4 linked regions of the Yarrowia lipolytica genome follow. The protein of the gene in region 1 purifies or fractionates together with the protein of each later gene. This does not show direct contact. Links are inferred from orthologs where the notes say so. Each region holds a gene or a part of one and is shown in the gene's direction. Other genes may lie near its edges. The genes, in order: YALI1_E34621g, YALI1_B23176g, YALI1_F24401g and YALI1_D15114g.

Region 1 (3,497 bases):
TAGATTGGTCAAACAGAGAAAGCACAAGTTACTCATAAATGGCCCTAATTAATCATGAAGAAAGACCTGGATGTATTTTTGTTTGCGGGGAGACAGACAAGTAAACAGTCCGACTAGCTGGTCTGGTCTCGCAAACACTTGCAAGTTTAAATTTCTCACCATTTTTAGATCCGTTAGCCCCTGTCTAATACACTTCATTAAGAAAACACAAGATGTGACGTCTTTCATTAGGAATTATCATTGGTCTGTAGAAAAAACCATAACCATTCGCATATCTCTTTTTCGTTTTGACAATATAGAAAACGACGGTAACGCGCACAACTGGCAACCCTCGCCACCAGATAACGCACTGTTATTCAGCTGCGAGTAAGCTCGTCGTCTCTCCACGGGCAATGTCGCAGATTGCCGTGTCCCAGCGTCTTGGCATTTCTCCACATTCCATGAATGTCATAAGTCTCGTACCCCAGACTGCTATAGGGTCAATCTTTTTCACCAGTCTACTGTATTGTTTGACAGCAAACCCACCCCTGGGAACCGACAGACAACGCTCATGAAAATAACGGAATCCCACAGCTGTGGTGCGTGCTCTCTTTTGGCGGATAGATATTCGGTCTTACATGTAGCCCTAAACCTGGAGGTTATCCGGTTCGGCAAAGCCGAAAAGTCTAGTATCAAAAGAGTGGGGAAGAGGACATGAATATGCAGCCCAGAGGGTGGGCACTATAACTACAAGAAAAGCCACGTGACCTGGTACCTGGAGTACGAGCGACGTTGCTTGAGACTCTTACACAGCCTACCTGGCCTGACCATTCATATCTCTTTTTCAGCCTTGTGGGGTTTGTTATCTTCGCTCCCTGCGTGTCTGGATTCTAGCTAATTTTTTCAACCTTGCTAATGGGGAGCGACTAATCTGCAAACTTTGTAAACTACCTTGTTCTCGTTAAAATGTGTTACCCTACTGACCATCCATGGCAAAAGGGTCCTAAATGAATGAATTACATTTCATGTCCTGTATACATTTCGGGACATGTAATCATAGCTTCCCGTATCGTGGCATATTGAAGCTGTGGATTTTCTAAGGTCACAACAATGGGCTTCTCCGGATTCCCCTACACCTTCTCCACTGTATTTCATCTTCTCTCTCCCCCAGGCACAGGCACACGCTGAATTCCATGCGGTTGCATACTTCGATAGTGTTCGTGTAAGGTATAAAATATTAATGCAGAAAAGGATGCACAACCTAATGAACCGAAGAACACGTACATCTCAGCAGTCTGTTCGGAGACCGACGAAAATACCCTGCGGCACACGACAAGAACAAGGGTAAGCCTTCCTTTGCTATCGATGGTTGCTTTTCCACATTATCTGATGTCATCTTGATATAGACAAGAGAGATCCTATTGTTCAAGAAGCTACAGTGTAAGTATGTAACATCCCTCAAGTAGCTCGACTTTAGTGCGCAATATTGGCACCAAAAACGTCAGCTGTATACATACATACACAGTTTTGTTCGCCAAGAGCGAAATGTATTGTACACACACACTCACTCACCGCCCATCTCCTTCACTCATTAACTCACACATTCACATATATTATACTCCCAAAAGTTTGACATGCCTGTGAAAAAAAACGGGGATTAGGGTGATTTAAGGCCTATTCCTATAATTACAATGCTTCTTTTTGGCGCTACAAGTACTCTATATGTACACGGTACGTACCAGTGGAAGGATCTAGCTTGTGTAAAAAGAAATTAATTGTATGCCGCCTACCGTCGGGTGTTTTAGTAATACAAAAGTTTAAGGTTTCTAGAATTATACCTAATTTTACGACCCACTGGTGAATCGAACACACGTACTGTGGGGGTACTTGTACTGATATTTTATGCACGTCGAAATCTACACTTTTTCGGCTCAGCACCAAAGTATCTCGTTTCACACTAATTACACACCATGTCTGAACCCGCGGATCTGTTCACAGCCAAGCCCATCAACTCGGCTCAGCGACTCGACGGCCCCTCTTCTTATGTCTTGCGACAAGCGCGAAGATCTCGACAGGGTGAGGAGGATCTCGCTGCTCTGGATGTCACAACCACTCTCTATGTCGGTAACCTCTCATTCTTCACAACAGAGGAGCAGATCCACGAGTTGTTCACCAAGTGAGTAACGCTCCCAATTGTTTCCCATGTGTGGATTTAGAAGCACAGGAGAGGATCTGAAGAATCAGGGACTTCGGGGATGTTAGACTGACGTCTTCAAGACCAATTCAACCACTCTACGACTCGAGGACTTCGATCGACATGTAGATTGACTGTTGAATTGTTTTCTGAGGCAGCTATCTAGAAACTGGAATATTAATTTCGGATTGCTATGTCGCTTTTCTTGGAATCACTTCTCAACTGGAATCTCCCGAGTTCAAAGCATTATGGCATATCTCCCCGGCCTATACTAACACAGAATTGCAAAGGTGAAGAAGATCATCATGGGTCTCGACCGATACCAAAAGACTCCTTGTGGATTCTGCTTCGTGGAATACTACGAGCACGACGACGCTGTCGCCTGCCTCAAATACCTGCATAAGACCAAGCTTGACGAGCGAATCATTACCATTGATCTGGATCCTGGCTTCAAGGAGGGACGACAATTTGGCCGGGGCTCCTCCGGAGGCCAGGTGCGAGATGAGTTCCGACAGGACTATGATTCCGGTCGAGGAGGATTTGGAAAGCGATGGGGAGATGATGAGCGAGGAGGAGATGATTACTGAGACTAAACCGATAGTCAGCCCAAAAAGAAAACCCTCTGGTAATTCACCAGTAGATATTGTGGGTTTTGTTGAATAATAGGATTACATGGATCGGACAGGTTGGGATCGACGGGAAACAATCCAGATGCGTGTATTGCACGTGGGTGTTTGGGACGCGCTTTGACACCGATAGGTTGATTGTTTGTTTGTTTATGATGACAGCTTATTGGTGACAGGTTTCTGATGACAGGTTCTTAATGGTAGGATTACATTTCGTTAATTGGAAGCTGACAGATGATAGGTGTCAACTGAGAAGGAACTACACTAAGGTGTCAACACGTCAATGTCAACCAAACTCGCAATTGATATGTCAAATCTGTCAGTTTGTACCTTGCCAGATATGTACACAGTTTAAAATATTATTTATATCCAACTGTCTTTGTGATTGGGGGCATGTATTAGCGGAGCCGAGCGTGGACTAATGTTCGTGGATTTCATCTCCACGGCGATAAAATACGGTGCGAGAACAACAGGAATGCAGCCGCATACCTACACGGGGCCAAGTTATCCCAAAGAGTGCCTTCTCTGAAGGGGCATCTGAGGAAAGGGTCTGTGGGAAGCCATGTGAGCCCCACTTGCAACAATACGTGAGAACCTTTGGTTGTATTGGGCATCTCAGCCAGTCTCCGATCTGAGCCCCAGTGGAGAGAGTTTCAGCTTCCATGCATGAGGACTCAGTAGAAAGAGAGAAAGCAGAG
Region 2 (3,495 bases), on another chromosome or scaffold:
TCCGATTCACACACAAGCTCCTTGTTGTTCTGAATGCACATAAGCAATAGACTTCCAACCCCCCAGATTGGTCGACGAGACTATGGTAGTAAGAGTAGTACTTGCACTCGTCGTATATGGTATCCATCTATTGTCGCTAATGTGTGAAGGGGCCACTCATGCCGCCCAAACTAATGCTTCTCTCCTTCTCCTTCTAGTGCCCTCATACACGGCTGAAGTAGTCTAAAAGACCCATACGTACAATAGCTGCTAACCAGCTAACCTGTACTTTTGGCACCACTCCCCTCAGCCGTACCTCTTACATTTTGATCATGTTCGTATCTGTGCCAGCTGCATAAATGATGGTTTCGCGGCTGCTGGTGGCTCTCAAACAAGAGGCCATCTCTTCTGACGCTGCGCAAATCCTCCAAGAACAACCTTCTTTTTGAATTTAGCACCTTTGCGTTTCCAAAGCAAGTGCACACTGAGGCATTTGAAGGGCCTATATTGGTGGGGGAGAGAGGACTGATTAAGCCATGTGCGAGAGACAGGGCATCAGCTCTTGCACGTGTCGATTAATAAGCGAGACCCGCGACGCAAGCAGTCGCCCAGCCTGTACGGCAGCAAAAGAACATTACTAGTACGCATCATCACCCGGTAGTAACGGCCAGCACGTTAAAAAAAAAAGCTGCCACTGTAAAACCTGTAACCGGGTGTATAATAGGGGCTGACCACATGGGGCGGTGTACGTTTTTCTGTCGTCCCCCTCCCCCAAGAGAAAAAAAAAAAGGTTACCAAATAGGTAAATCTATGCGGACGTTTGTACGAGTGCTGAAATTGCGGCTCCTGTATCTTGGCAGGAAAATTATTGATTTTGAAATTGTAGAGAGAAAAGAATCCAACCCTTCCATTGTCTTGATTTTCCGCTAGCGTTTTTATTCGATTTATTGGAAATATTCTCAGAAAACTATCCCTCTTTAAGCTATATTAGCGACAACTCAATTAAGCGTATGTGAGCATCTGTACCACCCTACTGTATCTCAGAGAGGTGGAGGTGGCGGAAATTCAAGAGAAAATCGAGGAAAATACGATCAATTTCAAAACACTCAACCCGGCATAAATGAGCCTCGCGAAAAAGTGCCTTGTCTTGTAAGCCCATAATACACGCCAAAACCACATCGTAAACACGTCGCAATCCCCATTCCAATTAGTTCTAGCGTCACACGTGTTAGCCAAGACAACCGCCTATAGAAGTGTACGATACTGGTACATACAGTACACTCCATTACTCGCACAATAGCGGCGGTGCCATGTTTGTCACGCCAAGGAACCGCTTTTTGAGTTCCGCGATCCGCTCTATACATGGTGTAGGGAAAGATCACGTGACGCCAAATTGGGATGTTCTCGGACTCTCGTTTTAGTGGCCGGGTTGTGCTGCTGTACTTAGCTATCATTTGGGAGAGCTACGAAGACTACTGTAAATGAAGTAAAAATATGAATAACTTAGTGAGGTCAAGTAGTAAGTGGGACAACCAGTTAAGTATATGAGGGTGAGATTCAACATCACCTTTCTACTTGTAGTCACTCAATACTACACGGATCAGCTCAAAAGAGTTTCCAGCTAAGTTTTTTTTCATTGTTGATACCCTCAGCTCAAGTTACACACCTCCGCGGTCTCTCCGACACACCCCCTTGAGACGCACATCGGATCGTACTCTCTCCTTGACAGGTTTCTGATAAAGTTTCTGTACATACTCGTACAGAAAATCAGCAGGCTCTTTTACCCTTCATCACATCATCATCAGCACAAAATGTCGGATCGAAAAGGAATAAACAAATACTATCCGCCCGACTTTGATCCCAGCAAGCTGGAGCGGCGTGCTAAGAAAGTGTCTGACTCCAAATCGGCCACCATGCCCACTGTACGGCTCATGGTGCCTTTCTCCATGCGATGTACCGCCTGTGGAGAATATATTTATAAGAGCAAAAAGTTCAACGCTCGCAAACAGGTGACTGACGAGGTGTATCTTGACGTGAAGATCATTCGCTTCTTTATCCGATGTCCTAGATGTTCAGGTGAGATCAGATTCAAGACTGACCCCAAGAACTCAGACTATCAGACCGAGTATGGAGCTGTACGAAACTACGAACCCTGGAGAGACGAAAAGAAGGTGGAGGAGACTCTGGACGAGCGGCTGGACCGGCTGGAAAAGGAAGAGAAGGAGCTGGAGGAGCTCAAGAAACAGGGAAAGGCTATGCCTGATCCGTCAAAGCTAGGAACCGCAGTTTCTACAGATGGAGACGTCATGGCAGAGATAGAGGCAAGGCAGAAGGCCAACATTGATGAGCAGGAGGGAATTGAACGGCTCGAAGAGCTCAAGGAACGTACTGCTCGTCTTAACAAGATTGGACGAGATGTGGATGTGCTGGAAGAGCTGAGAAAGAGAGATGACAAGGAAAGTGGCGTATCTGAACAGGATTTGCGTGATGATGAGATGGCTAAGGAGGTGTTTAGGAACGCGCAAGGTGAGAAGATCAAGAGAGTGGAGGTGGCAAAGGTGGATGCCTCGGTGAAGAAGGTATCCAAGCCTGTTGTCAAGATGAAGAAACGCATGAAGGGAATTGTCAGAAAGTAGAAGACGGAGGATATATTGCATCAACGCATTGTATAATACATTATGAAGTATTTGAGGCTACGAGTATTATACATCTGTAGAAGTTGCAAGTACTGCAGTACACACGGTGCATTCTGTAGCATGGCAACATAGTCAGCGGTAAGAACTCTCCACAGTTGTGTGTACAGGAGGTGTACAGGTAGTTAACTAGATCAGCCTAGTAAGAACAGCACCAGTTATCACCCCCCTCATCTACAGTTTCATCTTGAAAGCCCTTTCAACCACCACCGAACTCATAAATCATATCTCATTACTCGGGACAATAAATATATATAAATAAGCCTCCTCCTCTTTATACCACCACTCTTCGGCGCGTCTTGTGCCTATTAACGGCTCTGGACCTAGCTGGAACCCTCGTCTGAGGTACATGGGGCAACAGCATCGACTCGGGGGCATCAACCAGACAATTAATCTTAGTCATCATGACCTGAACGTCAACTTGCTCACCAAAATGCGTCAGCAGAAACTGCTGTGAGTATCTGTATACAACCAGCTGCCCATCTACTAATCCAGGAAGTGCCAGGAAGCCAGCCTGAAGAGACGTGTAGTAGAACGCAGTGATATCAACAATACTCTGAGTGGCAAAGTCAATTAAATGGGTCATACTTCCAGCCGCATTGTATAGGCCAACATAGTTACTGTAGACGGGATCCTGGCTGATATTTGTAGCGTGCACGGGTGTCCTGTTGAACAAGTACCGCATGAATTCAGGCATGACATGTTTTCCAGCCATGGCAATTTTGCCATCAAACACACACAACATCTCAGGTGTTGACGTGAGCATGTACTTGTCATTGAATAGCACCCGTTCCATCACTCCATTGTTCAGAGCCAGAAGAGC
Region 3 (4,653 bases), on another chromosome or scaffold:
CTTCAGTTCTAGTAGCACCTTCCAAGTCACCTGCATTCCGTCTTCACCTCCAAGAAGTGCCCAATCGACCCAGTCACCATCTGTCTCCGGGTAGGGTTCTACGGGCTTGTCGTCTGGCACATATGGAGGGTTGAAGACCAGTAGATCGATGGTATGAGGTCTCATCATTGTGGTACGTTCTCCACGAAGCGCCTCGAGGTACTGGGTGCCGTTGTTTTCTTTTGACGTGGCCAGAACCTGGTTGCATGCAAAGGGGCTGATATCTGTAGCCAAAAAAACGCCTTTGGGCACCACGGATTTCAGCATGAAGGTGGTGACGATGCCTGATCCGGTTCCGATCTCTGTCACCACAGGGTATGACAGATGGCTGTTGATGTAGCTCTGTTCCATTTCCAGCACGTCCAGGAGCATGAAGGAGTCTTCGCTGGGCTCGTAGACCTCTTCATAGTTGGCTGATGACGTGGAAGGTGTTGGAAACGACATTTCTGGGTGGTGTCTAGACTACGATATTCTTTGGTGGTTGTGCATGCCAAAATATATATTCGCATGCAACTTAAACTCGTTCCAGCTGCAACTCAACCTCAACCACTATACAAGCCACGCAACATGAAGATCAAGATCAAGGTGAGTATGATTTGGGGAGACCGCGGGGTACATGATTGGGGACTCGAAAGAACTCATTGTGCGCATCCTCCCCGCAGATTCGTGCTTGCGGTGCGCTAACTTGGAAATGCTAACACAGACACTCATTGGAAAGGAGGTGAGTCCTGAACCACGATATACACCCAGCAGTAACATTCCTAGATGAAATGACATTTGGAACACTGTTGCGGCCAGTGTGTGACGACGAAGCTAACACAGATTGAGATGGACGTTGAGCCCGAAGATCAGGTGAGTATGAAGAGATGGAGGGACTGGGGGGACTGTTGCGAAGTGGTCACGCGTGCGTGCCACGATGAAGTTGGCATGAATGAGACACGATAAGGGGAAAAAGTCATGGGAAAGTGCTGTTCTCTATCACGATCCTACAAATGCAAGGTTCACTTACGGACCTGTTCGCACCTATCCCGTCACCACTCAAACAGGACTAACTCAGATCTCCGTTCTCAAGGAGAAGATCGAGGAACTCGAGGGTATTCCTCCCGCCCAGCAGCGTCTCGTTTTCACCGGAAAGCAGCTCCAGGACGAGAAGACCATTGCGGAGAACAAGATTGAAGCTGGAGCCTCTCTGCATCTGGTCCTGGCCCTTCGAGGCGGCAACTAATGTATTGATAATTGACTGATTAGAGGATGTGGGATGGGGCAGCGTGAACTACGTGCTACTGGATGAACATATGTGGAATTAGGTATAGATGTGAATAGGTAGTAGCTACTTGTAATACTTGTAGTCTTTTTGGTTGCCATACAACTAGCTACTGTAGCTACAGTATGTTCTGTAAGTACGTAGTTACATACAATACTTGTTCCTGTATTGTGGCGCCAGTATCGATATAAAGATAGAATAGACCGACAAAACAGACGGGAAAACAAATGTATCTCTTAGCATTAGGTGTTGGAGGTAGTACTTGTCTATATGTCTATATATACTGATTTCCACAAGTCAAGATGCGTTCACACTGTTCCGCTCATCTCATGTTGACTCGACGAAGCTTAGTTATCACTGCAAATAAAACCTTCGCAGAATCATCACCAAAAAATATTGACGCCATATACGACCTCGAAACACCACACCGGTATGGAAGGAAGGGTGAAAAACAAAGCGCCCGCCGCGTTGCAGATTTCTGCAGAGCAGATTTTGCTGGAGGCATATGAGCGAAAGGAGACGCCTCTTCAGCAGACAGAGCAGATTGCCGATCTGGAAGAGCTGGCAGAGTACCAAGGCCGCAAACGACAGGAGTATGAGGGAGCCTTGCGACGAAATCGACTGAACACCGGCCAGTGGATGCGGTACGCGCAGTGGGAGCTGGAGCAACGGGAGTTTGCACGTGCCAGATCTGTATTTGAACGAGCTCTCGAGGTCAACCCAACGCATGTGCCCACCTGGATCCGATACATTCAGTGCGAGCTCAAGGAGAAGAACATCAACCACGCACGAAACCTGCTGGACAGAGCCGTCACACTCCTGCCGCGTGTCGACAAGCTGTGGTTCACATACGTGGCTACAGAGGAGACGCTGGGCAACATTGCCGGCTGCAGAGCCGTGTTTGAGAGATGGATGCATTGGAGGCCGCCGGTGACCGCCTGGGCAGCTTACGTGAACATGGAGAAGCGATATCGTGAGTTTGACCGTGCGCGGGGCATTCTGAGACGATATGTCACTGTTCATCCAGGTGCACCAGCATGGAACAAATGGGCCAAGTTTGAGATGGAGGCAGGAAACAGAGACACCGTCAGGGAGGTGTATGCTCTGGGAATCGACACATTGGTGGAAATGGCGCATGGAGGCGTGGACTTTCTGGATGAGAGTCTGCTGGCTGGATGGGCGAGTTTTGAGACTCGTCATAGGGAGTACGAAAGAGCAAGAGCTCTGTACACTTATGGACTCGAGAAGCTGCCCAAAAGCAAGTCTGCAAAGCTGTATGCTGACTACACGGCCTTTGAGAAACAGTATGGAGCCAAGGAGGGTATTGAGAATGTGGTTCTCACTAAAAGACGATCCAAGTACGAGGATCAGTTGAAGGAGGACCCTGCAGACTACGATACGTGGTTCTCTTACATCACTCTAGGTCAGGAAAGTGGTCTTGAGGCCGATCAGATTCGTGAGATCTTTGAACGTGCTGTTTCTAACGTTCCCCCACATTCCAAGCGTCTTTGGAGACGGTACATCTTTCTGTGGATCAAGTATGCCATCTGGGAGGAGCTTGAGAACAAGGAGGTTGAAAAGGCCGGTGAAATCTACAAAACATGCATATCTATCATCCCACACAAAAAGTTCACATTCGCCAAAGTGTGGTTACTATGGGCCAAGTTTGAGATTCGACATGGCAATCTGCCAGAGGCTCGTAAGATCCTAGGCCGAGGACTGGGCATGTCGGGGGGCAAACCTGCGCTGTACAAGGGATACATTGCTCTGGAGGCCAAACTGCGTGAGTTTGACCGGTGTCGAAAGCTCTACGACAAGTATGTGGAGAAATTTGCCGAGTTTGCTGCTCCGTGGATGGAGTATGCGGAGCTGGAGCAGATGCTTGGTGACGAGGAGCGAGCTCGTGCTATTTTTGAGCTAGCTGTGTCGCAGCCCGAGATGGAGATGCCTGAACTTGTGTGGAAACGGTTTATTGAGTTCGAGGCTGAAGAGGAGAACTACGACCGAGCACGAGCCATCTACCGACAGCTTCTTGATCGAACCCACGGTCACATCAAGGTGTGGATCTCGTTTGCCCAGTTTGAGGTCACTGTTCCTGCTGAAGACCAGGAGCTGCAATACAACGACGAGGGAGAGGCCGAGATTGAGGTCACTGAAGAAGCAAAGGCACGCGCACGAAGTATCTTTGGCGAGGCCTGGGACGCTCTCAAGGCCGCCAACAAGCGAGAGGAGCGAGTGGTTCTGTTTGAATCATGGCGTGAGTTTGAAGAGGAGCATGGAGATGACAAGTCTAAGGCGGATTTGGACAAGCGAAAGCCCACTCCTGTCAAGAAGAAGCGAAAGCTGGAGGATGGCACCTTCGAGGAGTACATCGACTACGTCTTCCCCACCGACGAGGAGGACAAGTCGTTCTCCAAGCTCCTGGAGAATGCTCGAAAATGGAAGCTTCAGAATCAGTCTTGACTGTGGGAGCCAACTATGTATTTATCTGTATATGTATAATAGAATCGTTGTATAACACTAGCTGCGATCCCTTATTCATGTTACTCCACCCTGCGCCACTATCACCAAGCTATCACCAAGCTACAAGTACAGCATTGTGTGTACAGGATGTACCAAAGACACTCGCTCTTCAGAATTACTGCTAAATAAGGTTTGAAAAGATTGCAGTAAAATATATATATATATTATAATATAAAAAACTTATCAAAATTTTTTGTACAAAATACAAGCCTACGGACAAAATGATATACGAGTCTAAGATCCAAATCCATTAGTATACATGTTAGTAGTTTTTTTATTTTGGGGGCCCGATAACTCCGGGAGGAGGAGGCGGGGGATGACGAATGGGCTGGTCTCCATCCATTCCAGGCACCCCAGGAGGAGGAGGGGGAGGAGGAACTTTAGAAAGACCAGGAGGTCCGGGAGGCACAGACATGCCGGGCACACCAGCAGGAGCGCCACCGTAACCACCAAAGCCAGAAGACGACATACCAGGGGGCCCGATGGGAGACTGGTTGTTATTAAACATAGACTGGTGGTGCACGGGGGGCTGGTGCTGATGCTGGTGCTGACGGGTGTCGCGATTCCACGGCGACTGCTGCATCGACTGCTGAACAGATACCTTGTCGTGCTTTTTGTAGTTGTCACGTCGCAGCCACGGGGGAGCAGCAGGCTGCGAGGGAGGTGTGGGTCTGTGCCAAGGAGGGAGTTCGGGCGACGAGTTGGACGAGTTGTTAAAGTTGCGGTCGTATCGGTCATAGTTGTTTCCGTTAGTGTTGTGCATGTTTTGCTGGTGGCTCTGCTGTTGGGGCTCTCGCTGGTTGGACTGGTTGAAGCCGCCTCGGTCA
Region 4 (5,320 bases), on another chromosome or scaffold:
TTTTGTCGAGCTACGAGCCTTCTGCTTGAACATGGCTGCCACCACCATCATTCCCACCGTGAACATGTCTGCTGACGAGAGTGTCCGCAGGCAGATGTACTGGCTGGAGATGTGGACCGGACAAGCGAGGGAAGGAGTCTGACGACTGTACATAACTATTTATTACAAGCGCTAACCATCTGACTAAGCCGCCTTGATGGTTACTATGCATGTAGCCCGAAGTGTGTGTCTGGTCTGTATTGTGTTTCATAGGCAGCATGTAAACATATATGGTGCAAGCATCCTACAGACTGTCGGTTAGACGGGCTGTTGCAACTTCAGTACTCGTATGACGCTCGCTAGTCGGTCAAAAATCAATTGACCATGAACCCTTTAGCGGCTGAGATAACCTCACCGGAATAATGACCTTGTCAAATAAACCGCCATCCAAGGTTCATAAGATGCCGGCATTATACATAATTACAACTTGCTGCAGGTTTGTTTTGACGCGTTACCCAGCAACTGATCACGATACAGTATACGTGCGAGAACTTGGGATTTCGACCCGCAGTGTTTGCAAGTGGTAGGAGCCCACACTGTATCTGTGTATTAATTTCCCCTTATTACAGCATGTTGCTCGGCAACAGTGGGGGCGGGGATAGCGAGAGCCCACACTGCTCCTAGTTGTGGTCATCGTCGTCATCAAAGACTGTAGGGCAGTTGTAACGACTATTCTTTAAGGTCGGTGGAGTTACTGTAGAAAGATAGGGATCATTTACTTGCAGTAGTTACCGGAACGATATCTGGATGGTGGTCCTTTACTTATGGCTGGTGTACGTGTACCGCATGCACAGACTTGTATGTGCTCTGGCGTATGGGCAAGTCGGCATCAGTATTTCTCAGTCCGGGGTTGGGGGATGCTAATTTGCCACCTGGAGCTGGCGACATTGCGGCGTGGGACGCGACTGAGTAAATGAGTCCCGTTTACATAGCTTTTTGTTACGCCATCCCGACCTCAGTAAGATTGCTGGGAGGAGGAGCTGGGGGCGTTGCTGGGACAACCGGGGGTGTGGGTGTGCTCAAATTTACAGCACTCTATTTGAAAATTGGCTTTTGGGTCTGTTTACGTCCCATCATTTTACCACTCCCTGTTTTAAACAGATTATATTCGATTCAGCCGTTTGCGAACGACCTTCAATTGGCCGAGGAATTCTTTTTGTGTGGACACTAGAGACCGACTTTCGACTTTCGGATATCGACAAATCACAGACTACGACGTGAGTACGACGGACGCCATGTGGTGAGGTGTTCAGATGGCCAAGGTGGCCGTTTGCGACCCGTCACGTCTCTGAGGGACGGGGCGAATAAGGGCATGTTGCGGGTGGCATATGTGGGAATTTCTGACTTGAACAATGTCGTTTTCCCGCTCAAATTGCCGGCTCTGGAGGTTGTAGCGGGACGCAACTTGTGTGGGGTATCTTGGAATTGATTTCTCCCTGGCTGGCCAAGGAGACAACTGCTGGGTTAACGGGATCGCGCTGGATAGTTGTTTTCGTGGCAGCCATCAGTTTGATTTATGACGATCTTGTCTCATTAATCGATTGATGACGTGTGTGGTTTGGTCTAGAATACCGCAAACCAGACGTGGGGTGCACGAGACAGACATCAGCGGCAGAATCGAAAACACGAGCGCACTAAATTTGCACCCGCAACGTTGCCATTGAAACGACACACACACAACCTATCTAGACCCCTACTAACCCAGATGGAAATCGCACCCATTCTTCACGACGCCTTCCAGGGCGCCACGCCTCAGGTGCGAAACGAGGCCAACTCCAAGCTGGCCGACGCATACCAAAACTACTACGGTGATGTGATGATGGCCCTCGCCAACTGCATCAGCACTCAGGATACCCAGATACCCGATGAAATCCGAGTGCTTGCTGGTATTGCCATCAAGAACAACTTGACATCCAAGGACCAGGAGGTCAAGCAGGAGCAGGCCAACAAGTGGTTGGCTGCCGATGGATCCGTTACAGATCAGATCAAGAGCATTCTGTTGGAGGTTCTGAAGAGCACTAACAACCAGGTGGCTTCAGCAGCAGCCCAGGCCGTGGCCGCCATTGCGGAGATTGATCTGCCCCAGGGACGATGGTCCAGTCTCATGACCACCCTGGTGGAGAACACCAAGGACGAGCAGCCCAGTCACATCAAGATGGCCGCTCTGCAGTCTATTGGTTTCATCTGCGAGCGAGCAGACCGAAACAATGCTGGTGTGGTTTCCCAGGCATCAGGCATTCTTACTGCCATTGTGCAGGCGGCACAGTCCAAGGAGTCGGACCAGAACGTGCGGCTCAAGGCCATTGAGGCACTGGGCGACTCTCTGGATTTCATCAGAGACAACTTTGCCCGGGACGGTGAGCGAAACTGCATCATGGTTGTCGTGTGCGAAGCCACCCAGAGCGATTCTGCCAAGCTGCGGGAAGTCAGCTACGGCACAATGTCTCGAATCATGACCAAATACTACCAGTTCATGGAACTGTACATGAAGCAGGCTCTGTTTGGCGTTACCGTCAAGGGCATGCAGGATTCCGACGACTCGGTGGCATGCATGGCTGTGGAGTTCTGGTCGTCCGTATGCGAGATTGAGGACAAGAACCAGCGGACCGGCGAGGAGTGCTTTGGCTTCGCCAAGGTGGCTGCCCCCAAGGTTCTGCCCATTCTCTTGGAGCTGCTCAACCGGCAGAACGAGTACGATGACGACGAGGACTGGAGTGTTAGCATGGCTGCTGCCGCCTGTCTGCAGCTGTTCGCGCAGACCATTGGTAACGACGTGGTGCCTCTGACTCTGCAGTTTGTCGAGCAGAACATTGGAAATACCACCAGCTGGAGAAACCGGGAGGCCGCTGTCATGGCCTTTGGTTCTATTCTGGACGGTCCTGACAACGCCCATCTGGCCGATCTCATCAAGCAGGCTCTAGAGCCCATTCTCAACCTGATGAATGACGACTCTCTGCAGGTCAAGGACACCGTGGCGTGGTGTCTGGGCCGAATCTCCGATCTGGTCATCAACGCCATTGACGAGCAAGTCCATCTGCCCGTCATCATGAATACCCTGCTCAAGGGACTGCAGGACGAGCCCAAGGTCATCACCAACTGTTGCTGGACTATCATGAACATTTTCGAGCAGCTTGGCCACGGCGGCGTCAACCAGGAGACCACCGTCGTCTCCCCCTACTACCCCCAGGTGCTGCCTGCTCTGTTGAACGCCGCTTCTCGAAACGACAACGAGAACAACGCCCGAACCGCTGCTTACGAGGCTCTGTCGACCCTTGTTGTTGTGTGTGCCAACGATTGCATTGAAGCCGTGCTTGAGCTGTCGGGCGAGGTTGTCACTCGTCTGGAGACCACTCTGGAGATGCAGCAGCAGATTGTCGGCATGGACGACCGAATCAACCTGGAGGAGCTGCAGATCAACCTGCTCGGTCTGCTGACCAACATCATCCGTCGAACTGACAAGCTGGTGCTGCCCGCATCCGACCGGCTTATGACTCTGTTCCTGAACCTGCTGCAGAACAAGCTTCCCAACTCGCTCATCGAGGAGGACGTGTTCATTGCTATTGGAGCTGTCGCCGATGCCAACGGTGAGGGCTTTATGAAGTTCATGGAGTCTCTCAACCCCTTCCTTCTGCGCGCTCTGGAAGATCCTTCTCTCATTGTGTGCAACACTGCAGTCGGTCTGGTGGCCGACGTGTCCAACGCTCTGGGCCCTGCCATTGACCAGTTCTCCGACCAGTACATGCAGCTGTTTGTCACCGATTTGCAAAACCCCAAGGCCCAACAGGTCATCAAGCCCTCGATTCTGTCGTGCTTTGGAGACATCGCGTCAAGCATTGGCCCCAAGTTTGAGCGGTACTTTTCTTTTGTCTTCCCTGTGATTGAGCAGGCGTGCCAGCTGGATGTGCCTGACCAGTACTCCGGCTATGCCGTGTCCGAGGAGTTCCTTGACTTTGTCGCCAACCTGCGTGAGCGAATCATCGACGCATTTGTCGGCATTGTCACCGGTCTTCGAGACTACCCTGCTCTGTTTGCTCCCTACGTCCCCACTCTGTTCAACTTCCTGTCCAAGGTGGCCGTGGACCCTCTGCTCGCTCCTGTGGAGTCTGTGGCTCGGTCCGTTGTGGGTATCATTGGTGATGTTGCCACCATGTATCCCGGTGGAGACTTCAAGGAGGCATACACTAAGCCATGGGTGCTGGAGTTCATTCGACGAACTCGAAGCGATCCCGAGTTCACTGACGAGACCAAGATTACCGCTCGATGGGCACGTGAGCAGCAGAAGCGACAGCTGGGCGAGAAATAGGCTGTCTGAGATGAGGGAACAAGTTTTTGCACAAAAAATAGCATGATACCGGAAAAATAGAAAACAAGCGTTTGAGTATGACTACTTTGTAGTTATAGGTTGGTGAGTATATCGCCAATATACAGTGTAGCAGGTGGCCATGATTTAGATCTACCCACCCCCCTGATTGTTTGCCTGTCTGCATCTGTAGCACGTGAAGATCTTGCTCGATAACCATGTGAAAAAAAAAAAAAAGGTACAACCATATGTATTGTAGCTGTGTGTATGTAGAATGGGGCAACTTTGTGGGGTTGTATATATATTTTAGGTTCCATCGACAGAACGAATACGGCTGGATAAGTGTGTGATATATGTTTGTAGTTGCAACTTGTCCAAGAATCGACTTGCCAGGCCGGGTTGTGCTGTCATCAGTGTTTCATCTACTGTAGTCGACAGCGGTACTAAAAGCGGGTTAGACTCAACTAATTCAGTTAGCTTTAGTCACTACGTTTACCCCACACCAAGGCCCAAAGGCCTAAAGGCCAAAAGAGAGCCATGTGGGTTTGGCAAATCTAGTTTGAGGACACCCATGCGCCGCCAAACTCTCCAACCAATAGAGAAGGGAGTAATGTCAGAATGGGTTTATATACAGGGCAAGCTTATGAGACGGAGGCTTCAACACGGCATAGACGAGGCATGTTCGTGGAGCGGACTCCTGCGCCAATGTGCCAGTTCTCGACACCGCTCTGTGCTGTGCGGAGGCGAGAGTCGTGCTTATAAGTGTTTTGATTTGCTCTGATACTAGTTGTGCTCGTTCCTGGGCACCATGTGGTGGATCGATCCATGTGTGGGTCTTTTAGCCCTTGAAAGGATGTGAGATTATGTATAATACTGGAGGAGGTGGAGGAGCCGCAGTGATGGGCGGATGTTGGGCTGCTATGCAGGGGGCTTGATTACATAATACGCGATCTAGACGGATATACAATGAGGCCAGTACTG

The links.
Region 2: the proteins of YALI1_E34621g (region 1) and YALI1_B23176g purify together in Saccharomyces cerevisiae (affinity purification with mass spectrometry; 3 studies listed by BioGRID). This does not show direct contact. The link is inferred for Yarrowia lipolytica from reciprocal best matches to the Saccharomyces cerevisiae genes CBC2 and YJU2.
Region 3: the proteins of YALI1_E34621g (region 1) and YALI1_F24401g purify together in Saccharomyces cerevisiae (affinity purification with mass spectrometry; 3 studies listed by BioGRID). This does not show direct contact. The link is inferred for Yarrowia lipolytica from reciprocal best matches to the Saccharomyces cerevisiae genes CBC2 and CLF1.
Region 4: the proteins of YALI1_E34621g (region 1) and YALI1_D15114g purify together in Saccharomyces cerevisiae (affinity purification with mass spectrometry, with the first as the bait; 5 studies listed by BioGRID). This does not show direct contact. The link is inferred for Yarrowia lipolytica from reciprocal best matches to the Saccharomyces cerevisiae genes CBC2 and KAP95.

Annotation. Positions count from the first base shown.
Region 1 is NC_090774.1:3,461,126-3,464,622, reverse strand, and holds YALI1_E34621g (uncharacterized protein), read left to right. Parts: upstream 1-1,949; coding exon 1,950-2,155; intron 2,156-2,453; coding exon 2,454-2,760; downstream 2,761-3,497.
Region 2 is NC_090771.1:2,315,816-2,319,310, forward strand, and holds YALI1_B23176g (uncharacterized protein), read left to right. Parts: upstream 1-1,790; coding exon 1,791-2,615; downstream 2,616-3,495. Other genes in the region: YALI1_B23201g (uncharacterized protein), read right to left, coding at 2,947-3,495. UniProt on the Saccharomyces cerevisiae protein: Part of the spliceosome which catalyzes two sequential transesterification reactions, first the excision of the non-coding intron from pre-mRNA and then the ligation of the coding exons to form the mature mRNA.
Region 3 is NC_090775.1:2,437,192-2,441,844, reverse strand, and holds YALI1_F24401g (uncharacterized protein), read left to right. Parts: upstream 1-1,735; coding exon 1,736-3,766; downstream 3,767-4,653. Other genes in the region: YALI1_F24413g (uncharacterized protein), read right to left, coding at 1-483; YALI1_F24408g (uncharacterized protein), read left to right, coding at 971-1,264; YALI1_F24359g (uncharacterized protein), read right to left, coding at 4,101-4,653. UniProt on the Saccharomyces cerevisiae protein: Involved in pre-mRNA splicing and cell cycle progression. Required for the spliceosome assembly by promoting the functional integration of the U4/U6.U5 tri-snRNP particle into the U1-, U2-dependent pre-spliceosome.
Region 4 is NC_090773.1:1,507,918-1,513,237, reverse strand, and holds YALI1_D15114g (uncharacterized protein), read left to right. Parts: upstream 1-1,744; coding exon 1,745-4,342; downstream 4,343-5,320. Other genes in the region: YALI1_D15149g (uncharacterized protein), read left to right, coding at 1-142. UniProt on the Saccharomyces cerevisiae protein: Importin beta subunit that functions in nuclear protein import through association with the importin alpha subunit, which binds to the classical nuclear localization signal (cNLS) in cargo substrates.